2 linked regions of the Sus scrofa genome follow. The protein of the gene in region 1 interacts with the protein of each later gene in a pairwise test. Links are inferred from orthologs where the notes say so. Each region holds a gene or a part of one and is shown on either strand. Other genes may lie near its edges.

What was found. The genes of interacting proteins can lie anywhere in the genome.
Region 2: the proteins of CARD9 (region 1) and FAM208B interact in binary tests that used the Homo sapiens proteins (3 or more experiments, as listed by UniProt). The two-hybrid records come from large-scale screens. The link is inferred for Sus scrofa from reciprocal best matches to the Homo sapiens genes CARD9 and TASOR2.

The regions. Positions count from the first base shown.
Region 1 is NW_018084833.1:1,342,228-1,346,338, forward strand, and holds the start of CARD9 (caspase recruitment domain-containing protein 9), read left to right. Parts: upstream 1-1,205; 5' UTR 1,206-1,755; coding exon 1,756-2,099; intron 2,100-2,413; coding exon 2,414-2,613; intron 2,614-2,895; coding exon 2,896-3,033; intron 3,034-3,585; coding exon 3,586-3,890; intron 3,891-3,968; coding exon 3,969-4,111. UniProt on the Homo sapiens protein: Adapter protein that plays a key role in innate immune response against fungi by forming signaling complexes downstream of C-type lectin receptors.
Region 2 is NC_010452.4:65,205,960-65,209,604, reverse strand, and holds part of FAM208B (protein FAM208B), read left to right. Parts: coding exon 1-2,480; intron 2,481-3,645.

The DNA.
Region 1 (4,111 bases):
TCGCGACCTCCTCTGACCTGTGGGCTAAGTTTTCTTGTTCAATTTCCAAATGCTGAGTGAGGGTCCCGACGTCTCTGTGGCTGCTGCCTCGCCCAGAGCACACGACGTCTGCCTGAGCTCTAAGCCACGGGAACTGGGTCGTTGAGGGCCCGGTACCAGCCTGCCTGCTGGGCATGTAGGAGGCGGTGGCTCAGTCTCCTGCACCAAGTCCCCACCTGGCTTTCGCGGCTCCCGCAGGGGGCTCCCCATGCCCAGAGGGTGATGTCAGCTCCCCGGAAGGCCAGGCCACCACGCAACCCAGCAGTGCCAGGTCTGTGCCGGGACGCCCAAGGTTTCTGCGAAGTGGCCCGCTGACCATCCTGGGCAGAAGGCAGAGAAGCCCCCACACGGCCTGAGGCGTGAGACCCCACAGGAAGGGAGCTGGCCAGGCGGGAGGGAAGCTCCTCAGGAAGGGGGAGCCGGGAGCACCGGCCAGGCTCCCATCCAGCCCGTCCAGCCGCAGCCCCTTCGCGGAGCTGAAGCTGGCAGCTCGGTTCAACTGGCAAAGCTCCCCGGGCAGCGCGGTGGCCTGGGGATTCCCCAACCTGGCCAGGGTGCAGCTGGCAGCCAGGGCTGGGCTCCAGGCTTTGCCCGGCCTTCTGCAGCCCTTCTGAAGTGCTGGGGTGGGGGGCTGCTGTCACTGTCATGTGTCCTGGTGGAGAAGGGGTGGTCCCAGGAGGGGCGGGGCCGTGCCAGCCACAGCAGGCCAGTGTGCTGCGGGGCGCCTGTGCCCGGGGCCCTGTTTTGGGACACCACACCGCCCCCTCCTGGGACCAAAGTGGGCCAGCAGGGGCTCGAGCTCTGTCAAGCCTTGGCTCGCACTCCCCACTCCTCAGGGTCAGGGCTGGGCCTCCAGGGCGGGCCCTGGGCCCCGCGGCCAGCCCTGCGCTGGCTGGCAGGGCTCTGGGCAGCCTTCCTGGGGAGCCACTTCCACTTCCCTCCCCCGCCCCCCAGGCCGCCCTGCTCGGGCGAATCAGCAGCGGCCGCAGGGATGGTCCCTGCGGGGTTAACGCCAGGAAGTGCGCTCCCTCCCGCCCCACCCTCCCTGGCCGGCAGCCGCGGCAGCTCCCACCGCTCACACACCGGCTTGGCGGCCCAGGCTGGCCGGCGACCGGCCACTGCACAGGTGCCTCAGGAGGACCCCAAGGTAGGCTGGTCTGGTGCCCTTTCGGAAAGGCGGCGGCAAGCCCAGGTGGCTCAGGACTCTTGGGACAGGGAGAGGGATCTGGCGTGAACACCCCAGAAGGGCACCAAACGGCCTCACCTCTGCTGCCCCGTCCCCCTCGCAGCCACCTGGCACGGTCGCTTCGGTGGAATGCACAGCAGGTCATCGTCAGGCGTGGGTGCTGTGGACTTGAGGCTAGAAAGGCCGCAACAGGCCAGGTCCAGAGACCGGCCACCAAGGTGCTGGTGATTCCTCTGGACGCCGCGCCTGTCGCTAGGCGGGCGGGCCGAGGGCGGTGGGACCCACAGCCACGGCCTCTGGGATACCACGGCCTCTGGGACCGTGCCCCAGCCCCCGTGGCCCGGGAGCCGGTGTTTCCCAGGCAGGTTACAGGCTCAGTCCCAGGTGTTGAGGCGGGGTCTCTGTGCCCCCCGACCCCTCTCCCCCAGGAGGAGGCATGGCCACATGGCTGCTCCTGCTCAGCCCGCCCCAGAGCGTGGTCCCTGCCCACCCGCTGCTGGAAGGGCTAGCAGAGAGCAGCTTCCACGTAGATGGTCCCCTGTCAGGGAGCCAGCATCCCCGTGCTCAGCACTGTGGCCGAGGAGATGGGGAGAGCCCGGGGCCAGCTAGTGCCCAGCACCCAGAGCCTGGAGGAGGCGCGCAGCCGCGTCCTGGGCTGCCTGGGCGACACAGCTGGGCCCTCCCCATGTGCCCAGGGCCCTCCGGTGGGCTGCTCTCAGTCACGCTTCCTGGAGGGCACCACGTCCCTGGGCCTGACCGGAGCGGGCCAGCTGGGCAACTGTTGCATCACCAGCCACAGGAAGCAGAGGAAGGGATGGGAGTGGATGTGCGGGGGAATGAGGAAGTCCCGCGTGGCATGGCCTGCCGCCCGCAGGTGGGGGGCGCCCCAGCCGGGCGCGGGCTGGCCGGGGGTGGACCGGGACCCCTCCCTCATCTGCCGGGGAGGTTGTGCCAGCGCTCGGCCCAAACAGCTCCTGCTGCCCCCTCACCTCCAGGGAGGGAGGCAGCCTCCCTGCCCGCCCACAATGCTCGGGGAGGGGGATTCTCCCTGGGCACAGGCTGGGGGGGTAGCGTGGGGCAGGGGCCCAGGGTGACGGGGGCGGGGGAGAGGAAGCCCAGAGCGGCCAGAGGGCGGGGGCAGGGCAGGGCAGGGCGGCGGGCCAGTTGACGGGCCCTCTCTCGGAGCAGTGCGCCCGCCCGCACCATGTCCGACTACGAGAACGAGGACGAGTGCTGGAGCGGCCTGGAGGGCTTCCGCGTGAAGCTCATCTCCGTCATCGACCCCGCCCGCATCACGCCCTACCTGCGCCAGTGCAAGGTCCTGAGCCCCGACGACGAGGAGCAGGTGCTCAGTGACCCCAGCCTGGTCATCCGCAAGCGGAAAGTGGGTCAGTGCCGTGGGCGGCGGGCTCTGCCCACGCTCGTCCCTGTCCCCGGGAGGCCTGGCCGGCTCGGCCCCCGCCCCGCCCCCCCCATCACCAACCTGTCTGCCTGCGGCCGGGGCGCCGCCATGCACAGCAGAGGCCCCTGGGAGAGCCACACGAGGTGGGTGGCCGATGGGGACTGGCCCAGACCCACTCTGCGGCCACCCCGCGGGGCCTCGAGGGGCCACACGCGTGCCTGGGGACGCCGGCCGCCCCGGCCCCCAGCCAGGCCCATCTGGGTTGCAGGCGTGCTCCTGGACATCCTGCAACGCACCGGCCACAAGGGCTACGTGGCCTTCCTCGAGAGCCTGGAGCTCTACTACCCGCAGCTCTACAAGAAGGTCACGGGCAAGGAGCCCACCCGCGTCTTCTCCGTCATCATTGGTGAGGAAGGGCACCGGGCCTGGGGACCCAGGGCCCGGACTCAGGGGCCGGGGCGCCCCCCTGACCTGGGCCCCTAACGGATAAAGCGTGCATGCGCTCTGGCGGAAGGATACCGCCCGCCTGGGGCCCGCCCGCCCGCTCTCCTGCTGCAGCCCGGGGAGGGGGCAGGGGCCGGAGGGAAGGGGGACCTGAACTCCAGGGCGGGAGCAGGGGGAGGGGAGGCACAGGCTGATTCTTGGCTCAGAGCCCCCCTGCCCAGAAGACCACCTGACCCCACTAAAACCCTGCTCCCGAGAGGCCGCGGCAGCCGGAGAGGTGCCGCTCTCCTGGTCCTGAGTCGTGTCCCCTCGCCTCTCAATCAAGATGACCAAAGTGGACAAAGAGGGAGGGACACGTGAGCCCCTGGCTGCACCGTCCTGGGAGGGGCTGGGGACGGGGCCTGCAGGTGAGTCAGGACCAGACCCCTGGGCCGGGCTCCCCGGGCCGCCGGTCCTGGAGCCGCGCGAGATGCTGGGCTGCTGGGCGCGCCGTCTGATGAGGCCCGGTCCGCAGACGCGTCTGGGGAGTCCGGCCTGACGCAGCTGCTGATGAGCGAGGTGATGAAGCTGCAGAAGAAGGCGCAGGACCTGACGGCGCTGCTGGGCTCCAAGGACGACCTCATCAAGGAGCTGCGCGTGAAGGACGGCCTGCTGCGCAAGCACCAGGAGCGCGCGCAGAGGCTCAAGGAGGCCTGCGAGGCCGGCGGCCGCGAGCTCCAGCGCTGCAAGGACGAGAACTACGACCTGGCCCTGCGCCTGGCCCGTCAGAGCGAGGAGAGGGGCACCGCGCTCATGCGCAACCGAGACCTGCAGCTGGAGGTGCCTGGCGGCGGGGCGGCCGGGCGGGCGGCGGGCGGGCGGCGGGCCCCCGGGCTGGGCTGACGGGCGGCCCCGCAGATCGATCGGCTCAAGCACAGCCTCATGAAGGCCGAGGACGACTGCTCGGTGGAGCGCAAGCACACGCTGAAGCTCCGGCACGCCATGGAGCAGCGGCCCAGCCAGGAGCTGCTGTGGGAGCTGCAGCAGGAGAAGGCGCTGCT
Region 2 (3,645 bases), on another chromosome or scaffold:
AGACGGAGCAGCGGCTGGAGGCCCTGGGGCCCCACTTAGAGCTTCGGGAGAAGGCATTCAGCCCGCAGGGGGGGCCTCGAGTAGCGGACAGAGACGTGAACCCTGCTGGCACTGTGTCAGTGAGAGCGCCAGCTAATGAGGACAGGAGCAGTGACACTTCACAGACAGCGACCTTCGTCCTTTCTAAAGAAACGTGTGCCCTTGAGGTGGCAGAGGAGATGCATGTGGCCTTAGACTTCCCCTTCGGTTCTTTGATTGAGGAAGTGTCACCAGCTTCCAGTCCTGACCCACAGGCACCAGGCACAGACGCACAGACGGCTAGGGCTGTGTCCTCCTGCGGCGCGGAGCTCTCTGAGGCGCGGCGTGAGAGCGGTGACCCGCCGTCCCAGATGGAGTCGGTCGATATGGCCGTAACAGAAAAAGACAATTCTTTGGCGGGTCCAGCCCCTCCAGTGGGACAAGATAACTTACCTCGGGCACCGCCAGTGCCGTTTCCTGCTGAAACGCCTCTGGTATTTAGGCGTCCCCCCGAGAGGAGAGGGACGTGCTCAGCCCTTCCCGGTGCAGTCCCTGAGCAAGCTGTCCCGGGGGAGCGTGACCAGGGTCCCCCCCTCTCCGCAAGGGCACCGAGCTGGGACGCAGAGCCGAAGCAGCCTGCCTCGGCTGCCAGGTACAGAGATGCCCCGGGAAACCAGGCGACCTCAGGGAGTCCCCTGCAGCCAGCGGCGGTGGAGGACAGAAGCCCCCACGTGAGTCACCTCATCTGGGACTCCAGGGACCCTCCCCTCAGTCCCAGGCACATTCTGGAAACTCAGCCTTTGGCTGCGGCCTTTGTCTCCGCGGCTGCGCCCGCTGACGCCAGTCTGTCCCTGGGGGAGCAGGCCGGCCCCGAGAGGCCCCCGGAGCATCTCCTTGGCGGGGACCTGAAGACAGACGGCCGCTGCTACATCCTCGTCAGGTCCCTTCGCTCGGGCTCGGTGGACAGCGCCGCCGGCCCCGGGGGCCTGGTCCACGCGGAGCGGCCGGCAGCCGGCCTCTGCTCGGGCCCCGGAGCCGCGGGGCCAGGGCCGCAGACGCAGGAGATCTCGGCCGTGAGGATGGCCAGGCTGCTGCAGAATAACGGCCCCGAGGCCGGGACCCTCGGCGACTCCGTGGACCTGGGAGGCGCTGGTCCGCAGTGGAGACCCCCGTCTCCTCCCGCCTTCCACCGGCTGCGGGCCGGGTCCGCGGGCCCAAGCCGGGACCTGGTGGGCCATGGGCCCTTGCCCCCCTGCTCACGGGCCGATGCGCCCCCCGACACGGCGGCCGCCGGCCTGGGCGGCGGGCAAGCGCCTTCTGCCTCCTTTGTCCCCGGATCTCGGGCCCCTCTTGGTGGTGGCGTCTCTGGCGCTGAGAGCGCTGGTGAGGGGCCGAGGGCCCCGAGGGACCCTGCGCCCCCGGGTCTCCGTGCGAATCCTGACATCCATTATGAGCCACTTTCCGGAGACTCGGATCAAGACTCTCTTGGCGAGTGTGCGAAACCCAGGGAAGACGCCCGGGATTCCTGCGCTCCGCGGTGTAGGCGTGCCGAGGACAAAGGCGCCTCCGACGAGAGTGACGACCCTTTCCTGGGCCTGAGCCACAGCGACGACGACGAGGACTGGGGCCGCTCGCGCCGGCTGCCCGGGCTGGAGCCCGCCAGGCGCGTGCCCGCTTTCGTCCGCGTCCGCGACCTCCGCGGCGTGGCCCGCGCCTACGCCAACTTCCCGGTGACACGGGCGCGGAGCCGGGCCCCCGGCGGCGTGGCCCAGGGCGCCTCGCTCCGCCTGCGGACGGACACGGGGCCGGGGGCGGCCGACCTCACCCGCAGCACTTTGGATCTGGAATATCTGCGTTTTGCGCATAAACTAAAGCAGATGGTGAAGCGCGGAGACGCCCGGCGGTCGGGCCCCTCGGCCCCCGCCTTTCCCAAGGCGGCCCCGGCGCCCGCGCCCGCCTCCCGGAGCCGAAGTCCCCTGGTGGTGACCGTCGTGCACTCGGACCCCAGACCCCCGGGTCGTCGGGCAAGAGGCCACACGCCCCACCGCATGGCCCAGGCCTCTTCGTCCTGGAAGGAGCGGGGCGCCCACGGCAGGAGCCCGCTTCCCAACTCGGGCGGAAGCCAGGCGGCCGCGCTCCACCTCCACAAGCTCAAGTACAACAGCCCCTGGAAGGACTCGCGCGGCGACATCTCGCTCATCCTCAGCGAGTTCGCCGAGTTCAACAAGGTGCTGCTCGGCAGCGGCAGCCAGGCCGCCCCCCGAGACCCAGAGCCCAGCGAGGCCGCGGCCCCGGCGCCGGGCCCGCCCTGCCCGCGGCCCGCCTCCTACGAGGACCTGGTGGCCGACCTGTGCGCCAGTCTGCGCGTCAAGCTCGAGCGGGTGGTGAAGGAGGCCTGCGCCAGAACCTTCCTCTTCCACCTGGTGGAGACAGCCGACGAGTCGTTCTTCCTAAGGACGAAGGTAAAGGGCCGGGCTGCTCCTGCTGCTGCTGTCCGTTTGGCGTCTGAGTCTTTTCGTAAGGAACCGAGCAGCCTCAGCTTCAGAAAGAAGCCAGCACCAGGGGGTGCTTGAGCTCCACAGCTCCGTGCGCGCCGGGCTGGAGGAGAGGCTGGAGGGTCTGCCGTGTGCACTGTTGGAAGATTTATGTGATTTCTCAAAACTGATGCGGTGCCTTGTTTTCACAAAACAGCACTTGGGGAGATGTATTCAGGGTGGACACAAATAGAATCCAGAGGCAGGTTCAGGTTTTAATCACTAATCCTGGAGCTCCCACCATGGCTCAGCGGAAGCAAGCCTGACACGTGTCCGTGAGGGTGTGGGTGTGAACCCTGGCCTCGCGTACTGACCTGAGGATCTCGTGTGGCTGTGGCTGTGGTGTAGGCCGGCAGCTGTAGCTCCGATTCGACCCCTAGCCTGGGAGCCTCCATAGGCCGCGGGTGCAGCTCTAAAAAGCCCAAAAAAAATTCCTCCCTGTGCTCACCCATTAGTGTAGTTGAGGGGACCTGAGCGTCCTTCCCAAGTGGACGTGTGAGGACCCCTTTCTGTGCTTGTCTCGGGTCTCGGGATAAGAGGGACACGAGAAAAGGGACATTAGAGATGAGCGCCCAGCTCTGGCAGGTGCCGAGGCAGGTACAGGGCAGCACCGAGAGGGACGCCGGCCTCGCGTCTGCAGTGGTGATGGCCAGACGAGGAAGCGTTTGTGCAAGCCCCGGCTCAAGTCCAGGGTGGCTGTCGGGTGACAAACGTGGCCCACGATCAAACTGTCAACGCCGAGCTGCTGAGTAACATCAGACACCTGAAGCTGCTCATGGCATCTGCGCCATCGCGGGCGTGACAGTCCCCACCACGGTGCATTCGGAGGGCCTGGAGCCAGGACCGCACTGCGGCCCCTGGTGGCTCCTGCTCCAGAGTCACTGGGACACGTCACTCCGTGAGTGCTTCCAGTCAGTCTCAGTGCCACCGGAGAAAAGCATGAGGGCCTGAGGAGGCTTCCAGAAGGGTGGGCAAGGCTCGGGGGCACAGGGCACAAGCAAGGGCCCCGCAGACGCACTCGGAGGCTGGCCGTCCTGGGGTCACGGGGCGCTGGGAGGTGTCTCAGATGAAGGGCGCTTGCTGGCGCTTAGAG